3 linked regions of the Stegostoma tigrinum genome follow. The protein of the gene in region 2 purifies or fractionates together with the protein of the main gene of each other region. This does not show direct contact. Links are inferred from orthologs where the notes say so. Each region holds a gene or a part of one and is shown on either strand. Other genes may lie near its edges.

Region 1 (7,714 bases), on a different chromosome or scaffold from region 2:
CGAAAGCAGCAAGGTAGACAGGATCTGGCTAAAACTGTGACTAAAGCATCACTTACTCATTTCCCGAGATCCAATTTCCTTAAAATAAAAGCCAAGTTTCCATTAGCATTTTTGATTATTTTGTACCTTTTAGTAATGCAGCTTGCCAAACAGTTTATACAGTAGAAAACAACAAAGTGGCAAGAAACAAGACCAATAACAGACAGCAATTCCTTCGCCTCCGCCACATCTGCTCCCAGGATCAGGCATTCCACTCCCGTACATCCCAGATGTCCAAGTTCTTCAAGGACAGCAACTTTCCCCCAGCAGTGGTCGAGAACGCCCACAACCGAGTCTCCCGCATTTCCCACACCTCATCCCTCACACCCCGCCCCCGCAATAACCGCCCAAAGAGGATCCCCCTCGTTCTCACACACCACCCCACCAACCTCCACACACATCATCCTCCAACACTTCCGCCATCTACATTCCGACCCTACCACCCAAGACATTTTTCCATCCCCACCCTTGTCTGCCTTCCGGAGAGACCACTCTCTCCGTGACTCCCTTGTCCGCTCCACACTCCCCCCCAACTCCACCACACCCGGCACCTTCCCCTGCAACCGCAGGAAGTGCTGCACCTGCCCCCACACCACCTCCCTCACCCCTATCGCAGGCCCCAAGATGTCTTTCCACATCAAACAGATGTTCACCTGCACATCTGCCAATGTGGTATACTATATCCGCTGTACCCGTTGTGGCTTCCTCTACATTGGGGAAACCTAGCGGAGGCTTGGGGACTGCTTCACAGAACATCTACGCTTGGTTCGCAATAAACAACTGCACCTCCCAGTCGCAAACCATTTCAACTCCCCCTCCCATTCCTTAGATGGCATGTCCATCATGGGCCTCCTGCAGTACCATAATGATACCACCCAAAGGTTGCAGGAAAAGCAACTCATATTCCGCTTGGGAACCCTGCAGCCCAATGGTATCAATGTGGACTTCACAAGCTTCAAAATCTCCCCTTCCCACACCGCATCCCAAAACCAGCCCAGTTCGTCCCCTCCCACCACTGCATCCCAAAACCAGCCCAGCCCGTCCCCACCTCCCGAACCTGTTCTTCCTCTCACCTATCCCCTCCTTCCACCTCAAGCCGCACCTCTATTTCCTACCTAACCTCATCCTGCCTCCTTGACCTGTCCGTCCTCTCCAGACTGACCTATCCCCTCCCTACTTATACTCTCCTCTCCACCTATCTTCTCCTCTAACCATCTTCAGTCCACGTCCCCCTCTCTCCCTATTTATTTCAGAATCCTCTCCCCCATCCCCCTTTTCTGATGGAGGGCCTAGGCCCGAAACATCAGTTTTTGTGCTCCTACGATGCTGCTTGGCCCGCTGTGTTCATCCAGCTCCACACTTTGTTATCTCAAATTCTCCAGCATCTGCAGTTCCCATTATCTCTGATGGACAGCACAACCTGCTTGTTATCAATGCTTAATTCATCACATTAAACTACTTCCAGCACCAGGTGGAGACCTTTAACAACCCTACTGTTAGACAGCTTGAAAAATACATTGCAAACTCAACCCACAGGGTACTTCTTATAGTTCAAACAGACATAATGAAAATTTCATATGCCCATGACCAAGGATTACTGAAACCCTTTTACAATACCATAATGTACTGACACTTCAACAACCACACATTTCAAAATGTAACCCTACTGTAAAGACTTGGCTCCAAAAACCACACATGAACAGTGATCAAAACTAAGTGTTCCAAAGATAGAGTGCATAGATGCTGAGCTGGCTAACTGAAAACCAGCTTCTTGATCACCAATTCTAGTCTTTCACAACAACAAATCTGGAATAGGCAACCATATTATCTGTTTTAGTTACAACCACATTTTGAAATATTTTCTCAAGGTAAATTAAGATGTGTTTCGAAGTGCAGTTTTTGCAAGACTTCAGTCCTCATTTATTTGAAAAATCCCTTTCCCAGGATAATAGTAAGCATCAGTAGAACAGTACAGATTCAGTTTCACTGTTAAAACATGCAAAATTTGACCACTTATCTGAAGCAGTCAGGTTATGATGAAACAGAAAAGATCATGCCTCCCATTTTTTCCAATAACTTAAAAGACCAACAGAACCAAAATAAAGTCAAGATCTCCTGGCTATCTGTCAACAGCTCATTTTGAATTTTGTGTTCAAACCTGATGAGTTCAGCGATCTCACCACCCCTCCTTAACCAAATTACAGGTATAGGTAGTATGGTTTAATGTGCCCTCCTTATTGCTAATACAAACACCATCATATTTAGCACATTCCTTATTTAAAGCAGAGCACTGAGGTACAGTGCTGCTCCTCTTCCTTACTGAATGTATGCCATACGAAGATCACACTGGTTGTCTTGAATATGATGGGACATAAAGGCCACACAGTTACTACACCCACATTACGGAGTTCAAAGGACTCTGTCACCTGTGTTTATCCCTCATACAGATTGGGAAATCAGCCCTCTCTTTAATTCACTGCCCAGCAATTCTGGATCCAGTTCCACGTCTCGGTAAGTGGGTGCAGGAGGGCTCTCAATAAAGGTGTATTCCGACGTTACACCTGACCCTGGATCCAGATCTTCCAAGGCTACCAGCGGCGTGTGGCCAATTCCCACTCACTCCAGGGAGATTTCCCAATACAAAGGGCCGGATGCCGGCCCAAAGCGCCCTGGGCTCACGGTGAGCAGCCTGCGGAGCCCCATTTGCTTGGAGTCCGCTGTCTCTGCTACGGCCGGCAGTGGGGGCCCGGGATCAGCCTAAGGCCGGGCACCACCCTGCCCAGAGCTTTCCCCCTCCCGCTGGGTGGGGAAGGGGATGTACAAGAGGGAGCTGGCAGCCCATGCCGGGACCCAGCTATCCCCCGCCACTGGCTGTGCCGTGCCACGCCGGGGACCCTCGGACACTCACCGGACGAGCTCCCTTCCCCACCCTCGCCCGCCTTGTGCCGGCTCGGTGTGCACTCAAGGCCGCTGCTTGTGTGAGCGAAGCCCGTGGCTCTCACCACCTCCCGCTTTCAGTCGCTCCGATCCGCCATCTTCCGCCAGGAGCGACAGCGCCGCGGCGGCGCGCACGCACTCGGAGCGTCACAGCTGCTCACGTCTCCCCCCTGGCGGTAGCGTCACGCTGCGGCAGATTCAGCGCTTGCTGAGCCTAGATAGACAAGCTTGGTATGTACGCCTCCACCACATCCTTTCCTAGAGCTGCTAATGACCCTATTCACATCCCAGTCAATGCATCTCACACTATGTGAAATGGAAACAAGTGGCTCTTGAAGCCTGAGTTCAAGTCCCACCTGCTCCACGGGTGTGTGTCTGTGTGACAATATCTCTGAACAAGTTGTTTGGAAAATCTCCATAAAATAGAAATGAGCAACGTGTCATCGTGAACCACATTCGTCGAATTATGTTCCAGAGACAAATTCAAATCCCACTGGGGCATTTAAACTCAGTTCATTAAATAAATCTGGAATTACAAAAGACAGTGTAGGGGGGAAACCCATCAGGCTCTAAAACTGTTTCAGAGACAGTAGGAACAGCAGATGCTGGAGAATCTGAGATAACAAGGTGTAGACCTGGACGAACACAGCAGCCAAGACCTTCAGGCGTCGAGGCCCAAAACATCGGTCTTCCTGCTCCTCTGGTGCTGCTTGGCCTGCTGTGTTCATCCAACTCTACACCTTGTTATCTCAGGCTCTAAAACTGAGGTTTTTTTTATCTTGGGGGAGAATCTAGAACTACAGAGCACAATTTCAAAGCAAAGTTTTCCTTTTTCAGATAGAATTGAGAAGGAATTTCTTCTCCGACAGTCATTAGTTTCTGGAATTCAATGCTCCAGACAGCAGTAAAGGCCAAGTCAGTGAATATATTCAAGGTCAAACATAGGTGCTTGGAGTCAGGCCACAGGTCAGCCATGATCTCATTGCATGGTCCAACAGGCTCAAGAGGCTGAATAGTCTACTCCTGATCCTATGTTCCTGTGAACTTGACATCATCCTGACCAACTGTGCCTGGTGCACATCTATCTGTACAAGACATTATTCATAGGAATGGAGACCACATAATCTTTGTGGAGAAGAGTTTCATCACAATGTTGACAACATCTTCCTCTGTGTTGTGTTGCACCACCACTGTATTGAGTGGAACAGATTCAGAACAGAACTGACACTGTGGTCCATCAGCAGCAGGAGAATTGTATTCCATCACAGTATGAAACCTCATGGCCTGGCATACCTCTCCTTCCATCATTACCATCAAGGGACAAATTTTTTTTTAACGAAGAGTTTGGAAGAGCATGCCATAGCAGTATCAGGCATATCAAAATTAAAACAGTGAAGTTATCATACAGGAATATCATTCAGAAACATCCTGATCAGCTCGGAACTAAAATATCCCATGAACCCCTGCGGATTCAATCAAAGAATTGCAGTGTTGTCATAACTAACACTCCGTCTTCAGTAACGGGGGGAGCTCAGGATCATGTCAATGCAAAAGAAAAGGCTGGAGAGTTTGCAACCATCTTCAACAAAAAGTGCTGAATGGATGATTTATCAGGCCTCTTTCTGACGGCCTGATTGTTGAAGAAATCAATCTTTGAACAACTGAATGCACTCCAAGTAATATGAAAGAACAGTGTAGTGACCTGGGGAATTCATGTGGTACTGTTCTACTGATGTGATGATTAGCCTCTAAAAACCACATCTTCTATTGAATGAGAGATAATGGGAACTGCAGATGCTGGAGGATCCAAGATAACAAAGTGTGAAGCAGGATGAACACAGCAGGCCAAGCAGCATCTCAGGAGCTCCTGAGATGCTGCTTGGCCTGCTGTGTTCATCCAGCTTCACACTTTATCTTCTATTGAATGCACTGGATACAAAAAAGACTACAGGTCCCGGCAACATCCCAGCAGTAATACTGAAACCTGGTGGTCCAGAACTAACTGTACCCCCTAGCCAAACTGTCCTAATAGCACTAACGTAACAAAATGAAAAAGTATCTACTTATTCCTCATCCTGAAAAACCAGTTCTCTACCCCTGGAACAAGGGTCCTGGGTTCAAGTCCCACCTGCTCCAGATGTGTGTAATAACATCTCTGAACAGGTTGATTAGAAAAATTGGTGAAATAAAAAAAATTAAAAATTACAAAGCAACCAATTTTGGTCTCCCTGCTACAGGAAGAATGTTGTGAAACTTGAAAGGGTTTAGAAAAAATTACAAGGATGTTGCCAGGGTTGGAGGGTTTGAGTTACAAGGAGAGGTTAAATAAGTTGGAGCTATTTTCCCTGGAGCATTGGAGGCTGAGGGGTGATCTTAGAGAGGTTTATAAAATCATGAGGGACATGGATAGGGTGAAGAGGTAAGGTCTTTTCCCCAGAATGGGGGGAGTCCAAAACTAGAGGGCATAGGTTTAAGGTGAGAGGGGAAAGATTTAGAAGGGACCTAAGGGGCAACTTTTTTCACACAGAGGGTGGTGCGGGTATGGAATGAGCTGCCAGAGCAAGTGGTGGAGGTTGGTATAATTACAACATTTAAAAGATATCCAGATGGATATTTGATTAGTAAGGGCCTGGAGGGATATGGGCCAAATGCTAGAAAATGGGACTAGATTTATGTAGGATACTTGGTCAGCACAGATGAGTCAGACTGAGGGTCTGTTTCCATGCTGTACATCTCTATGAGTCTAATTACCATACAGTAGCCTCCTCTCATGATGAAAATGATGAAGGGGATCATAGACACTCCTGTCAAGTACTCACCATAACCTGTCCACTAATTCTTAGTTTAAGTTTTACCAGAGCCACCTGGCTCCAGACATCATTACAGCATGGGTCTGAACTTGGACAAAACAGCTGCAATTCAGAAAAGAAGCAGAAGTGATTGCCCTTGACATTAAGCAGTGTTTGACCAAGTGTGGCATCGTGTCCTTGAAAAACTCAGGAGGAATAGAATCATTGGGAAAACTCTCCATCAGCTGCAGTGATACTTAACACAAAGGTAGTTGTAGTTATTGGAGGCTCATCATTCCATCCATAGGACAATGCTGCAGAATTTCCCCAGGGCAGTGTACTAGACCAATTAGCTGCTTTATCATTGACCTTCTCGCCACCATATCAGAAGTGAAGATGTTCCTGGATGTTTGCCTTGATTCCAGTTCCATTTGCAATCACTCCCGCAGAGGGGCCAGTACAACATATGTACTCGGACTGATAAGTGGCGATTAGCACTTACAATGACTACCTTTAACAACCAGTGTCACTGCCATTGTCAAATATTCCACAGCAAATCACCAGTTCTGAAAAAGAGTCACCAAGTTCAAAATATTAACCCTGCTTTCTCCCCACACATGCTGTCAGACCTGCTGAGTTTCACCAGCAATTTCTTTTTTGTTACTGGGGGATCATCATTGACTAAGTTCCAGAGCTTAGGCCGGGATGATGCTGCTAGAATGCTGAGGCAAATGAATTGCATGATGCCTACGAGAGAAGAATTGGAGTTTTGTGGAGGGTTGTGGGTCTGGTGGTGTTATGCAGAGAGTGAGTATCAGGGCCATGGAGGAATTTAAACAAAATTATGGGAATTTTAAAATCACTGCACTGCAATGGCAAACTCTGTAGATGGTCAGTAGGGGTGTACAGATTCATAAAAGACTAAAGGACCCTTTAAAGCGTTGGCCAACAGGGTTAACTGCAGCATTTAGTGGGAAGTGGCCCACTCAATACACACAGACAAACCTCTCCGGACCCCATTAATGAACAAGTGATTGGTAAATAAACAGTACCTTGAAATAGTTTGAAGCTATCTGGTTTATGCTTTAAATTGTCAGCCACGCAAACATTGAGATGAAGAAGCTGCAATCTTTCTTTGTTAGCCATGTCATCTAGAAATCAAACTGATCTGCCTTGGTTCTTGTTTACTGTTCTCTCCCACTAAAATTGAATAATCATCTTGACAGACACAATCTCCTTAAACGGATTCAGATTCAACAAATTCAACTTTTAATAGAAAGTTTTCAACAATACCCAATACCAACACTTCTACAGTTTATTTGGGCCAGCATTTGGAAATTGCACCAGCAACTATTTTAATTAGAAAGAGTTGCAACCTATCCTGTTTTGGACTAAAAAGGTCCTCAAATTCCCAAAGTAGAAATTTGATACAAAATTCAACTACAGCAGGGGTATGAAATAGACTGTTGCAAAACAGTTACCTATTACATATTCATATATTATTCTTTCCATTGAAACCAACATGGGAGAAAATTGGACAGGGAGTTTAACAGACCACTAATCCCCGGTGCCTTTTCTTGCCTCTTGATTTTCCATTCATTAATTTTCCTTCGCAGCAAAGCAAACTGGGTAATAGATCTTAGATCACATTTTGCTAAACTGGTTTAATTTGGCAGATGACAGCTATCCATCATTGCTGCCCACACTAATCCTTCACTGTGTTACTTCAGGGATTATGATATGATATACTATGAGCATATTTTGTACAGTATCATTTATATATTGTATATTATCACAATGGTTATTTATAAATGGGATACATTTAATGTGGATTTTATGAAAAGTATCTATAATATCCAAATACAGAACATAGAACAATACAGCGCAGAACAGGCCCTTCGGCCCTCGATGTTGCACCGACCTGTGAACTAATCTAAGCCCCTCCCCCT
Region 2 (7,041 bases):
TCTCAACAGTTACAACCCTGAAACATGAGTCACAAAGAAAGACTTTCAAGGCCTAGACATCTTCAGCTTCATGAATGAGTGTCCATCCCTTCACAAGGTCAGATTTAGGGGTGTATGCTGATGATTACATAACATTCAGCAACATATATGACTCCTGCATAACGAAGCTGTCACTGCGCATGTGTAATGCCTAGACAACATTTAGGCTTCGACAGTTGGATGGAAAGTGACACCCATGCCAAACTAGGAGCAAGTAAAGGCCATCTCCAACAAGACAGAATCGTCATCTGCTCAACACTCAAAACACTGCACCTCCCAGTCGTGAACCATTTTAACTCCCCCTCCCATTCCTCAGACGACATGTCCATCATGGGCCTCCTGCAGTGCCACAACGTGGCCAGCCGAAGGTTGCAGGAACAGCAACTCATATTCCGCTTGGGAACCCTGCAGCCCCATTGGTATCAATGTGGACTTCACAAACTTCAAAATCTCTCCTTCCCCCACTGCATCCCAAAACCAGCCCAGTTCTTCCCCTCCCCCCACTGCATCACAAAACCAGCCCAGCCTGTCTCTGCTTCCCTAACCTGTTCTTCCTCTCACCCATCCCTTCCTCCCACTCAAGCCACACCTCCATTTCCTACCTACTACCTCATCCCACCTCCTTGAACTGTCCGTCTTCCTTGTACTGACCTATCCCACTCCCTACCTATCTCCTTTTCTCTCCATCTTCATTCTGCCTTCCCCTATTTACTCCAGAACCCTCTCCCCATACCCCTCTCTGAAGAAGGGTCTAGGCCTGAAACGTCAGCTTTTGTGCTCCTGAGATGCTGCTTGGCCTGCTGTGTTCATCCAGCTTCACACTTTGTTATCTTATATTCAATGATATTAACACTGTCAAAATCCCTATGCTTTTGGGTCATGACAAACCACCCGTCTCACTGGGTCAAAATCTGAAACATCCTTCGAAACTCAGTGGTCTCCAGTTACCCTAAGGGCTGCAGCCATTGAAGACAGCATTTGGATGAGCAACAAATGCTAGCCAGATAGTGATTACCACATTCCACAAATTAAGAAAACAGAAATAGAGACAATGATAGGCTAAAATTTCTGCAACAAGTGATCTATCCAAAATCTGTCAGGTGCATAAGGACAGATAGATGGATCACCACCATCCACAGATTGCCCTCCAAATCACTCACAATCTTAAATGATGCAATGCTAACAGGTATTTAAACTATACCAATTTGAGCATTTGAACCAAAGGATAGAATTATTGACACCCGGAGAAAATGATTAATTACCTGCAGGCTAAACTACTCAAATGGATGTATGGTGAGTTTCCACAGCCTCATACAGATAACATACACGATCATCTGATCTCGGAGAATCTGAGCACTGAATTCTACGAAGCAAGGCATTTCAGGTAAAATCAAAAATAGTTCCATTGCTTTCTACTGCTTGCTCTGATGGGCTTTTGTGTTTGTTGCAACGTATTAGCATAGTTTTCCAGGATTCCAGCATCCACTGCAGAGTCCACCTCCAAAAGCCATATATTTGTCAACTAGCTAGTTAATGATCCAAGTAAGTGCATAAGTACCGCTGACCCCCTAATTGGATGTCAGATTACTGAATCTGCCACAATGAACCACTTGGCACCAGCTCTACACAAGGCATTCCATTTCTCTCTGGGAGGCCCCGAGACATTTCCTCAACTGCTGTTGAGAAAAATACCATCTCTTGGTTAAAGTCTGTAAACATCAGACAAAGGCTTAAAGCAACAGTATGCATAAAGTACAAATCACAGAGTTGTAAGACAGTACACAAAACTGTTAAACAGTAACATTTTACATATACACTATACTAAGGCTCTTTTCCACAACACTGGCAAGACCAAGTTATGAAGAGAACAATGTTTGTTTCATATCCACTGACTGAAGCATGTCAATTGGGGTAGAAGCAATCACAGTGCGTCATTGTATAAAACAAACAGCGGCAAACTAAGAACTACTAGGTTGAATTACGGGAAGTGATTTTTGGTGCAACGCAATCTTCTAAACAGTGCTTTTGTTGACACAGACGAAGCGTTTAAGTCTTAGAAATAACAACGTGACGAGTTAAGTTGGCAACTGTGCAAGACTTCGTGACAACTTATTTCGTTTATTTAAATAAAACGATAGAATGTAGGTTATATGCGGAAACCCAGATGCTTTTAATCCACTAGATAACATTGCAGCAATTTATTTATGGGCAATGTTTAGGATCCAGAGCGCTGCTCACAAAGCGTCGAATCAAACGAAGATCGAGGCCTCGGTCCCTGGAGCCGAGTGGGGGTAAGGGGGATCCCAGATTATTTGCGGAAACTGGCCGGCGAGGACGACTAGAATCTGTCGCCGGCCGTAGGCGGAAACTAATCAGCTCCTCTTTGCAGTGCGCCACAAACAGAAGGAATCCCAAGGCCCGGCTTCTCGGGACAGGCCTAGATTAGAGCCTCGGCTCTCAGATTCATCACGGCCGAAAAAGAAACCTTCCCCATACGGAGACAGAGGCTTCCAACTCCTGCTACACAGCACCGACCCCATCACCTAAAAGTTTCAGCCGCTGGGGCCGACTGACTGAGGAGTGAGGTCGGGATTTGGTGGGGGGAAATCCCAGAGGCCTGTCCCTGGGCCTCGGGCTCTGCCAACAACATGGCGGTGACTGCGGCCTCCCGCAAACGGCCCGAGTCACCATGAGTCAGGGAGGCAATGGTTGGGGGGCGGGGGGAACCCCAGAGCTCTTTCCCTCCAACCCCACCTTCCAGCCGCCGCCGCCTCCACTTCACTCACCATCGTCCCCCTCACCGGCTCCGTCCGCTTCGCCACTCTGCTTCCGATTTAATTTTTCAACCGACTCCCGGCGCCTCGTCTCCACAGGTTCCGCCCCGCCGCCTGCAACTAATTCCTTAAACAACAGTTCCGCCGCTCGCCCACATCCTCGGGGCCTCTCCCTCAGCTCAGCTAAGCTCCTCTTCAGTTTGTTTTAATAAAATGACGAAAGGGCAAACACGTGAGGTAGTCTCGACAAACAAATAACATCGTTGGAACAAACTGTTCATCACAGAAGGGATTCGATCTCATTGCAGCTGGGCTTCCGGAAAATTTTGCTGGCGACTGTTTTATTTCTTAAGAAACGCGAAATGTTTTTGTCTACCAGGTCCCCCCCCCAAAAAAAAACTCAACGAGGTTTGTGCAGTAAGAGGGTTCAATTTTTTTTAAATTTTTAAATGAAATCAGATATTCAGCTATTTAAGTTTGAGATAGATTAATATATATATTAAAAAGGCATTTGCCACATTTGTACTGACCACGCAAGGTTTTACTGGTTTTAAATACTGGAAGAATTGATGATAACAGAAGTTGCTGGAAAAGCTCAGCAGGTCTGGCAGTGTCTGTGAAGGGAAAACAATCAGTTAAATTTTGGGATAATGGGAGAGATAATGTGACCCGTCTTCAGAACCATTCTGAAACGTTAATTCTCATTTTTCCTTTCCTGGTTTTTAATCCTCTCGATGTCTCCAGGATTACATTTGATATGAAAGATTCGAGTAACCCAACTGTGAAGATGGGCCCCTGGGAGGTTAGTCACGTCCCCCAAGTATGTTGTTGTGTTTGCAACAAATTGCGAATTCCTTATTTAAGAAATAGACCGAAAAACGCTGTTGCTATGGGATCAACTTCTAAATGAGGCAGAAGCCATTCAAACCTAATCCACCAATATCAAATCACAAGTCGTCTGTACCTCAACCCTGTATACTCGCATGTCACCCATATCGTATTTAACCTAACAGTCTGCGGAGACATAATAGGAACTGCAGATGCTGGAAAATCTGAGATGACAAGGTATAGAGCTGGATGAACACAGCAGGCCAAACAGCATCAGAGGAGCAGGAAGGCTGACGTTTTGGGTCTTGACCCTTCTTCAGAAAATCATTTTCTGAAGGGTCAAGACCCAAAACGTCAGCCTTCCTGCTTCTCTGATGCTGCTTAGCCCGCTATGCTCATCCAGCTCTACACTTTGTTATCAACAGTCTGCCTATACCAATTTGATTACTTCAATACACCCAGCATTTACAGCCTAGAACAAAATAGTTCCACGTTTCGCCCACACTTAGACATAGAACATTACAGCACAGTACAGGCACTTCGGCCCTCGATGTTGTGCCAATCTGTCATACCGATCTCAAGCCCATCTAACCTACACTATTCCATGTATGTCCATATGCTTATGGAACGACAACTTAAATGTACCTAAAGTTGGCGAATCTATTACCCTGCAGGCAAAGCGTTCCATTCCCTTACTACTCTGAGCAAAGAAACTACCTCTGACATCTGTCCCACATCTCTCACCCCTCAACTTAAAGCCATGTTCTGACCTATCTGTAATTTTAAAAGGTATAGATTTCTTGTTCTAGATCCCCACCATAAGAAATAGTTTCTCCCCAGAAATAGTGATTTGTGAATTATGTACCACACCACATCACTTGCCATTCCACCACTCTAAAGCAAAGACATGGTTCTGGAGAAACTTAGCTAGTTTGGCAGCATCTGTGGTGAAAGAAACAGAGTTAATGACCCAAGATGGATATGGCTTCAGAATAGTTCTGGTTTGACTAAGGCTTCCCCACAGTGAAAGCCAGAAGCAATATATTTTCCCTAACCACACCTATCATTGTTCTGAGGTAGTAGGAAGAGTCTAGGCCCAAAACATCAGCTTTCCTGCTTGGCCTGCTGTGATCTTCCTGACTTTGTCTCATCTGCAGACTTAAATATACAAATTTCAATTTTTTCACCTGAATCGATCAAATATGGTGAAAAACTGAACTCAGCAGATTTCTGGAGGACACCACTGTCACATCCTGTCAATCAGCAACATTCCCTTTAGTCAAACTCTGATTTAAAGTCGGAGAGAGACTTACAGCATGGAAACAAACCTTTCAGTCCAAGTCATCCATGCTGACCAGATATCCTAAACAAATCTATACCCATTTGCCAGTATCCCTTTACACATACCCATCCAGATGCCTTTTAAATGTTCTAATTGTACCAAACTCCACCACTTTCTCTGGCAACTCATTCTTTCCACGCACCACCCTCTGCATGAAAAATGTTGCCCCTTAGGTCCATTTTAAATCTTTACCCACTCTCCTTAAACCTGTACAGGACATTGGTGAAGCCTCTTCTGGAATACTGTCCAGTTCTAAGCGCCCAGTTACAGGAAGGATATTAACAAGCTGGAGATGGTTCAGAAGAGATTTACCAGGATGCTGCTGGGTATGGAAGGTTTGAGTTATAAAGAAAGGCTGGGACTTTTTTCCAGGTCACCTCTGAACCTCCAATGGGCTAGTGATAAAAATTTATAAAATAATGAGGTATAAAGTTGATGGTAGTTGTCTTTTCCCTCAGATGTGGAATTTCAGCATTAGGGGACACATTTTTAAGGCAGGAGAAAAGATTTTAAAAAGACAGGCAATTTTTTCTTTTACACAGAGGATAGTTGGCATACAAAATGAACTTCCTGAGGAAGGGGTGGATGCGAGTACAATTGCAACATTTAAAAGATATTTAAGTCAATTCTTGAATCATGGGGTTTCAGAGGCCAGGAGCAAGCTGGTGGGACGAGTGTAGTTTGGGATTATGCTTGGAATGAACTGGTTGGTCTGAAGTGACTGATTCCATGCTGTATGATTCTATGACTGTGCCCACTAGTTTCGCACTCCCCTCACCCTAGGAAAAAGATCTTGTCTGTCTATTTACCCCATCCGTGCCACTCACACCTCAGCCTGACGTTCCAGGGAAAAAATCACCCCAGTCTATCCATCCTCTCCCTGTAGCTCAAAACCTCCAATCCTGATAACATTCTTGTAAAACTTTTCTGAACCCTTTCAAGTTTCACACCATCATTCCTCACTGAAAGTGGCAACGCAGGCGGAAAAGGTAGACAACGAGACATATGGCATGCTTGCCATCATCGGCCAGGGCTTTGAGTTTAAAAAGTGGCAGGTAATGTTGCAGCTTTATAGAACCTTAGTTAGGTTGCATTTGGATTATGTTCAATTCTGGTCACCACACTACCAGAAGGATGTGGTGGCTTTGGAGAGAGTACAGAGCAGATTTACCAGGATATTGTCTGGTATGGTGGGCATCAGCTATGAGGAGAGGTTGGAGAAACTTGGATTGTTCTCACTGGAATGAGTGTGTGTGAGGGGCGACCTGATAGAAGTCTCCAAAATGATGAAGGGCACGGACAGACCAGACAGTCAGAAGCTTTTTCCCCAGGGTGGGAGAGTCAGCTACCATGGGGCATGGGTTTAATGCGAGGGGCAAGGTTTAAAGGTGATAACTGAGGCAAGTTTTCTCCAGAGGGTGGTGGGTGCTCACTCCTGGGGGATGTAGTGGAAGAAGATACTACAGAGACTTTTAAAGGGCATCTTGACAAATACATGAATAGCATGGGAATAGAGGGATATGGTCCCTGGAAGGGTAGGGGTGTTCGGTTGTGATGGATAGCATGTCAGTGCAGGCTTGGAGGGCCAAAGGGCCTGTTCCTATAATGTAAATTTTCTTTGTTCTTTGAGACCAGCATTGCATACAGTATTCCAAAAGTGGCCTAACTAACATCTTGTACAGCACAACATGACCTCCCAACTCCTTTTCTCAATGCACTGACCTATAAAGGCAAGCATACCAAACGTCTTCTTCACTATCCCATCTACCTGCAACTACCTCATGCCCCCTTTTTGCCCTCCTGATTTCCCCCTTAAGTATACTTCTACTGCCTTTGTACTCTAAGCATTCACTGGATCTCTGCTGTCTATACCTGACATGTGTTACCTTGTTCTTGACCAATACCATGATTTCTCTAGTCATCCAGAATTCCGTATACTTACCAGCCTTGACCTTCACCCTAACAGGAATATACTGTCTCTGGACTCTGGTTATCTGATTTTGACGGAGCTCCATTCTCCAGCCGCCCCTTTGCCGATAAACATTTGCCCCAATCAAC
Region 3 (8,089 bases), on a different chromosome or scaffold from region 2:
GTTTCGGTTGCAGCGTTCCATAGCAACTCCATAAACTCAAATTGCCATGGAGAGAACAAAACATGAACTTTGTCGTAACTTCTTTTTATAATTTCTGTAATTGAAATGGTACCAACTTTTGGTGACTTACACACATCTCACTGTATTTTCATAAATATCAGAAACAAATTGCTATTCTATTCTATTTTGCTAGTACTTCAAAGCCCTTGCCACTGTACCACTTGCTGTTGTAATTGCTTTCTGTACCTTTGAAAGAGCATTAACTTGAAATCTTAACACCGTTTTTCCCTCCCTACAAATGCTGTTAGATCCACTGAGTATTTCCAAAATTTCCAGTCTTTAAGTTCACATTTCCCACAATGCTGCCTTTGGATTAGACATTTATTTTTGAAGCCACTGTGATAAGGAATATAGTTTAGGAGCCGGAGTACAAGTGTGCACATCCAGCCATGGCAATTTATATCTGAACAGCTGCATCAGCCCTTATGATATTGTATCCTTCTACTTTTCTGGTCTTTACCTATTAACACTCCTAAAAGCCTGCCTATGCTTTGCAATACCAGCTCCAAGTTATGCCCAATAACTTTGTCCATAAATCAAACGCCAGCACAGGTAAATGAGTTCTGGATGCCGTTCTTCAAAAGGTAAAGCGCAACAAGAACAATAACAATGCATGGCCAAAAGTTCGAAACCCTACTTTTTCACCGTCAAGCCACGGGTTTGAATCTAGTCTCAGTGTCCTCTGTCTAACATCGGTGAAGTCCAAACAAAACGAGTTAGAAGTTTTCCATCTGCACACTACTCCTCAGAATTAAACTGTCAACAATTAATTACTAATAGCAGTAATTTGATAATCTCAGTCAGAAGGATCACAAAGATAAGCATTGGTCAGTGCGAAATGGGAATGTACATTGCTCCAGTGAGCATATTTTTCCAAGAGCTGGGATTTAGATCATTGGACCAATGTAGCAGGAGCTTACACGAGCCAATGAAGATATGTTTTGACTAGAAATACGAACACTGAGGATTATGGAGAAATAAAACAAAGTTTCATCTCCCAGCAACAACATTATCTGCCCCTTTTCAGGTCACTTGGCAGAGCTTTTATGTTTACTGTGCAACTACAAAAGCAATGTTAAAAGATAGATTATCCTCATGAATCTCAAGGAAACTGCAGCTAGCAACCCAAGAAAATTTTGCTCTTTATATTTCAGAAGGGGAATTGAAGGGGGAGAAGGGAGCAGCAAGGAGAAGTGAAGGTTTCAGAGTGAAACGATAAAGGAAGACTGAAAAATGACGAGTCTGGTATTCAGACAAATGAAGACTGTGGAAATGGGATGGCATGTGGTGCTTCATTTCTACAGAACTGGGAGCACCAGTGAAGGATAGTTTCCATCAAAATGGGTGGGCTCAAAACACGATCACTGAAAATACCAGGAAGGCAGACAGAAGGAAGGATTTTAAACAGAAGAGCTATTATGTTTCACAATACTTCACTACATACAGCTACTCAAGCAGAGATGAGAATAGGATTTAAAATGGAATTAGATCAGTCTAAAGAAAAACAAAATGTTCTGTTGAAAGGAGTTGCAGGAGTTCCAATGTCAAGTGTCAAATGGCCTCCTCCTGCTCTGCAAATTCTATAATTCTAAGAAAACTCACATACAGTGAGACTAAGCCCTGGGAACAAGCAAGAAACTGAATAATTTTGAACTCAAGAACACGGAATTTTAGTCGCAGTTTCGGTAAATTGAAAGATGGTTTGGAAAACCCTGTATTACCTACTCAGAAGAGTACAGCATGCCCAAAAGTATCAAATTCAAAGGACTGGGCACAAACTTTGACTGAGTTTGCACGTTATTATTGTTGGTCACTAACTGCTGTATTAGCTTTAAAATTACAAGCCAAGCAAGCTCTGACATACTTTGGTGGACGAGAGGTAAGGAAGGGTGGTAAAGAGAGCAGACTGTTTGAATTGTGGAAGAAAAAGGAAGAGAACCCACTAGCAGTCTGGTGTTTCCAGTGCAAAAGTCAGAATTTTGGTAACTTTAGTTTGATGGAAGAGATAGTCGAGAAGGAGACAAAGGATAAGTTTCTGAGCAAACATCAACAAGAACTTTAACTGCTTAGTCTCCTAAAATAGAAGAACTCAATTGCATCAAGTTTTGGATTGCATTATCAAAATGTTGTAAGCATCACTGTCTGTGAATTTCTAATGTCAACAAAACTGTTTAGAAAAGTCTAAGCTGCATGCCTCCTGTTAAAGTGTACACTAAAGCTATCAAGAATTAAGAAATCTGCAAAATGTTGATCTACGCAATCTCTTGGCATAGTTCAGGTCAGTCTGCGCCAACTAGTTGCAGTTTGTGCAAGTTCAAGTACACACTGGCTCAACTTGAACTTCCAGTTCAGAGCTGATGTTTGAACATTGCCTAGCTCAAATCAGAGCAGAAAGAGAACCACAGTAAAATAGCAAAGTACTTGCGTCTTGACTCAGAAAATCATCTATACTTTGAGTTGTAGGATTCTTGCTGGACCAATAGTGTGACTATCATTAGGTTTACAAGATTATTATCAAGGACATTAGGGTCAAGATAGGGCCCTGAGATCGTTTGCATACATTTAAGCAGACTGATGGCGCCTGGGTTTACACAGCTCCACTGACAATACTGCAGTGCATTGGTTTTTGTAGTCAAGCCTAGCAGCCGGAATTGAACTTGGAATTTTGCGATTGAGACGACAGTCACAACTGACACACCAAAAAAAATGTTTATTTAGCCAGATGCCTTAAACTGGTCATTTTTAAAGGACATGAAACGACACGAGTGATTTTTTTTGAGCAGGGTCAGAGGTAGCTTGCTCGGCCTGTTTGCTCTGCCTACCTCCGCCTGAACTGGTGTTTCCACACGGCGCTGTGGCCGTGACAAACCTCCTGCAGCTTCTTACAGGCCAGGCAGGCGCTCACCACATCCACATGGCTCAACGACGGGCAGCAGAATATCTGCTCCAGTACCTCCTCTGGCAACCTGATCAATCCTCCACTCTCCCCACAAACATCCAGCTCGGCCATTTTACTTGTTTACATCGGACACCCTGGGCCAAGCGACTTCCGCTTCCGGCCCCGCCTCCCGCGGGAAATTCAAATCCCTTCAGGCCTGCCTCCATGGGGCAGGGACATCCCCTTTCATGATAATGTGTCAGCAAGTGGAATAACATTTACTAGCACCGCACTGGTGTCAATGTGTGTACATGAATGTTTCAGCGAGTGTTAGAAATGTTAATCCTGCTTGAATTTATATGTTTTCCTATAACTGGGAAAAAATAAGTTACTCTATCGGAAAAAAAGTGTGAATCTCCAAACAACTCCCAGTTCCTCTGCCTCCACCAGGTCACAGGATGAGGCGTTCCACTCCTGCACATCCCAGATGTCTTCCTATTTCAAAGATTGTTACTTCCCCCGTCCATTGATCGAAAATGCCCTCAACTGCATCTCTTGCGCTTCCTGCACTTCAGCCCTCAAATTCCCCCCCAACTGAAATAAAGACAGAATCACCCTTGTCCTCACATATCATCCCATCAAACTCCGCATACAAAGTATTATTCTCCACCACTTCCACCACCTACAATCCTTGGCTCCACAACCAAAGAGATATTTCCCTCCCCGCCCCTATCTGCCTCTCTCCGTGACTCTCCACTAGCCCCACCATTCCCAGCACCTTTTCCTGCAACCACAGGAAGTGCTACACCTGCCCCTACACCTCCATCCAAGGCACAATGCAAACTTTCCACATTAGACAGGGGCTCACCTACACATCCGTCAACTTTGTCCACTGCATCTGCTGCTCCCGATGTGGCCTCCTCTACATCAGTGAGACTAAGCGCCGACTCGGACATCATTTTGTAGAGTATCTGCGCTCTGTTCGTGACAAATGACAACAACTTCCGGTTGCCAAGCATTTTAACTCCCACTCCCGTTCCCAGTCCCTGGGTGACATGTCCATCCTGGGCCTCCTCTAATGTCTCAATGACACTATTTGCAAACTGGAGAAACAGCACCTCATATTTTGCCTTGGGAGCCTACAGCCCAATGGCCTAAATGTGGATTTTACCAGTTTCTAAAGTTCCCCACCCCCAGCCTCATCGCATGTCCAATCCCCACTTCTTTGATCTGACACAATCTGTCCATCTTCCCTCTCACCTGCCCACTCCTCCCACCTCACTGATCAATCCCCACTACTGCCTACCTGCACTCACCTGTCACCATCCCAACTACCTTCACCCCACCCCTCCTCTATTTCTTAGCTCCCTACCCCTCCCCATTTCTGAAGAAAGGTCCTGACCTGAAGCATCAACTTTTTTGCTCCTCTGGTGCTGCCTAGCCTGCTGTATTCTTCCAACTCCACACTGTGTTACCTCTTTCTCCAGCAATTGCATTTCCCACCATCTCCAACAGACATTTGATTGTCTGTTCACTAGTCCTCGCCCCATCTTCTGCATAAATATCAACCTTTTCCAAGCTACCATCAATTCTGAAGAAGGGACACTGGACCTGAAACGTTAACTCTGATTTCTCTCCAGAGATGCTTCCAGCCTTGCTGAGCATTCCTAGCAATTTCTGGTTTGCTTTTGTTTCTCATTTCCAGCACCCACAATTCTTTATTTTTACTTGATTGTTTGGTCCTGGGATTACATACAAGCTCGTCGGTTTACAAATCCATATCAGTACTTTATTCTTCGCTTAAACATCAAAGAACATATTTGAAATATACAATGGGCTCTTGACCAGATGGAACAATGGGTGGTGGAGTTGAATTTAGATAAATGTGAAGTGCTGCATTTTGGAAAAGCAAATCAGGGTAGGGCTTATACACTTAATGGTAAGGTCCTGGGTAGTGTTACCGAACAAAGAGATTTTAGAATGCAGGTTCATAATTTCTTGAAAGTACAGTCGCAAGTAGATAGGATAGTGAAGAAGACATTTCATACATAGCCTTTAATGGTCAGTGCATTGAGTGTAGGAGTTGGGAGGTCATGTTGCTGCTATACAAGACATTGGTTAGGCAACTATTGGAATACTGTGTGCTGTTCTGGTCTCCCTCCTATAGGAAGGATGTGAAACTTGAAAGGGTTCAGAAAAAAATTACAAGGATGTTGCAGGGTTGGAGGGTTTGAGGTACAGGAAGAGGCTGAATGGGTTAGGGTTATTTTCTGTGGAGAGTGGGAGGCTGAGGTGACCTTATAGAGGTTCATAAAATCACAACCAACATGGACAGGGTAAATAGACTAGTCTCTTCCCCGGGATAGGGGAGTCCAAAACTAGAGGGCATAGATTTACAGCGAGAGGGTAAAGGTTTAAATGGGGAACCTCTTCACACAGAGGGTGGTTCTTGTATGGAATGAGCTGCCACAGGAAGTGGTGTAGGCTAGTACAATTACAACATTTAAAATGCATTTAGATGGGTACATGAGTCGAAGGGTTTTGGAGAGATATGGGCCAAATGTTCGCAATGGAACTAGATTTATTTAGGATAGCTGGTTAGCATGGACAAGTTGGACTGAAGTGTCTGTTTCCTGCTACATATCTCTATGGCTCTAATCTCTAATTTTCTAATTAGAGAATCTCTAATTCTATTTATGTGTAACTCAAGAAAATACGTAGAAAACCCATTCAGCCATTAACAATATTTTTATCTTTAAAATACAATGATCCCAATACTGTTTCTTTATTCAAAAGGCTGGCTCTTACTCCAATTTGTTTCTATTTTCTACAGTATTCCTGGACACACTGCTCCTTATCATCATACTGTAGGTGAAGTTGCTACATTTAAACTTACATCTTCTGCTACAGATTCAAAAGAATCCCATTTTAAAAATTTTTTCGGTAAACTCTACGATCGCTTCCTCAGTATAAATAATAAGATTCACATAGTCAATCATCACAAGTCTAACCACCTAATCTTCAATAAAAAAAATGAAAGGACAGTGCATGCTGTAAATCAGAGACAAAAACAGAAGTTGCTGATAAAGCTCAGCACATCTGGCAGCATCTGTGAAGAAAAACCCTTCCTTACACTGGACCCGAAGCATTGACTCTGATTTCTCTTCACAGATTCAGCTAGACCTGCTGAGCTGTCCCAGCAACTTCTGCTTTTTGTTTCACCCAATTCTCAACCTCATTACCAGTTTAACCGCCTTCCTCTGTTACCACACAAAAGGAATTTGAAAAGGTTCCTCAACAAATGCCTTTCATCTACTGTACATATTACATCATTAAAGAACACTAATACATTTGTCAAATATGATTTATTTTTCACAAAATAATGTTCACTCTACGTGAATATATGATAATTTTCTAAATATCCTGCTATTAATTCCTTAACAATGGACTCTAATGTTTTCCCAATGAGAGACGTTAAGCTGAAGTTTCCTGCATTATGACTCTCTCCTTTCTTAAGGCATTACATTTGTGGCTTACTCAGTATTTCTGTAGCCATTTCTTTTAAGACCAAAATCCTTTGGCATCAGAGATATGGGACTTGTCAGCCTTTAGTTGCATTGTTTTCCTGTTATTTTTCTTTATTGATCACGATTAATTTACATTCTTCCATTCCTTTGCCTCTTGATTTTCTACCATTATTAGATTATTTATTTGTACCTTCTATTGAAATTACACCCACAACGTTCTTGTTCCAAGTCTCCCATTTCTTTGTCACCAATTATTAATTCTAACTCTAACCCTTTCCCCCCATCCAAGCATCAATCTGCAACTTATGCCAGAAAACATAGCCAAAAATTAGTCATTTATTGAGCTTCTAAGACTCATCCTTTATGGGACTGAAATATTTATTTTCTTTAGTTACAATTTTCCTTTTTTACATACTTGATAGAAGCTTTTACTGTGTATTTTATATTTTTTTCTAGTTTTCTCTCATGTTCTAATGTCTGTATATTTTCATAGTCATTCTTTGGTGGTTTCTAAATGCTCTACAATCTAACTTACAAGGAATCTTCACAGCATGGTAAATCTTTTCTTTCAATTTAGTACCATCTATAATTTTCTGAGACATGGTGCATTCTACTCATAGTCTTTCTTTCTCAATGGAATACATCTTTCTTGGGAGCTATGAATTGTCTCCTTAATTGTTCAAATTGTTCAACTTAATCTCCACCAACACCCTATCAGACAACCAAAAGGATATATTAATGGGATTTTACACTATGTGAGAGGAAGTCTGTCATCTTTAGAATTCATATGAAGATCACCACCTCTTTGCCTTTTTCACATAATCCCCTTGAGTTCATTGTTACACGGACACCTGTGACTTGGTGATGTGGTATCCCACAGGGACTGTTGATATGACCTTTTCCCCACTAAGTGTCACTTTTAAGTCCTTCCTGTACCCTCATGTACACAGCCCAAAATTGGGCATTTATTAAACTTTTCAGAATAAGTACTCCCTGATGACTAAGGAGATTGCTTCCAAGTCCAGCTCAGTCTTAGATTCTCTGGAGACTTTCATACAATTCAACCAAGATCATTAAGATATGTATATTTACTTCCATGGGTATAACAGGATGAAAAAATCCTCAGAGACTGATCTCCTGGGGTCCTCAATGATATTATTAATTATATTTGTTAAGCTTAAAGCCACAGGCTGACATTTCTGGGTCAGATATTTATTTTAAGTGAGGCCAACATTCCATGGTAATGTTTTTAACCTCCTTTGTTTAGAATAAAAACAGAATAAAAACTTGTTAAGCTCTGAAGTCTATTTCAAGTGAGACTTATTTTTTGCAACAAACATATAGCAATTTGATGTGTTTTATTATAGTTAAGAGCACCAAATATTAAAACACTAAATATCTAGAACATCTTAGTTTTTAATCAACTTTCATTCTTAATTAGGCTAATTAAATAGCATATTATTAATTTTAAAGGATTTTTAAATCTGTCTCACAATGGGTATTTTTTTCTCAAATTCTTCCCAATGGACATGGCTTGACCTTGGCAAATTTCCATAAGTTGGCATCTGCAAGTGTACTGAAACATTGAGGCTTTTTTTAAAGTTTCACCCTTTTTAGGAAAGGT

Evidence for each region. Proteins that work in one complex are often made in the same cells at the same time.
Region 1: the proteins of cullin-1 (region 2) and fbxo42 purify together in Homo sapiens (affinity purification with mass spectrometry; 9 studies listed by BioGRID and IntAct, counting the BioPlex papers as one, with this or other methods). This does not show direct contact. The link is inferred for Stegostoma tigrinum from reciprocal best matches to the Homo sapiens genes CUL1 and FBXO42.
Region 3: the proteins of cullin-1 (region 2) and fbxo21 purify together in Homo sapiens (affinity purification with mass spectrometry; 6 studies listed by BioGRID and IntAct, with this or other methods). This does not show direct contact. The link is inferred for Stegostoma tigrinum from reciprocal best matches to the Homo sapiens genes CUL1 and FBXO21.

The regions. Positions count from the first base shown.
Region 1 is NC_081381.1:31,101,471-31,109,184, reverse strand, and holds the start of fbxo42 (F-box only protein 42), read right to left. Parts: upstream 3,093-7,714; 5' UTR 2,948-3,092; intron 2,593-2,947; exon of another isoform or gene 2,466-2,592; intron 1-2,465. UniProt on the Homo sapiens protein: Substrate-recognition component of some SCF (SKP1-CUL1-F-box protein)-type E3 ubiquitin ligase complex. Specifically recognizes p53/TP53, promoting its ubiquitination and degradation.
Region 2 is NC_081355.1:98,233,531-98,240,571, forward strand, and holds the start of cullin-1, read right to left. Parts: upstream 3,106-7,041; 5' UTR 2,826-3,105; intron 1-2,825. UniProt on the Homo sapiens protein: Core component of multiple cullin-RING-based SCF (SKP1-CUL1-F-box protein) E3 ubiquitin-protein ligase complexes, which mediate the ubiquitination of proteins involved in cell cycle progression, signal transduction and transcription.
Region 3 is NC_081379.1:30,199,081-30,207,169, reverse strand, and holds the start of fbxo21 (F-box only protein 21), read right to left. Parts: upstream 3,093-8,089; 5' UTR 3,071-3,092; coding exon 2,883-3,070; intron 1-2,882. UniProt on the Homo sapiens protein: Substrate-recognition component of the SCF (SKP1-CUL1-F-box protein)-type E3 ubiquitin ligase complex.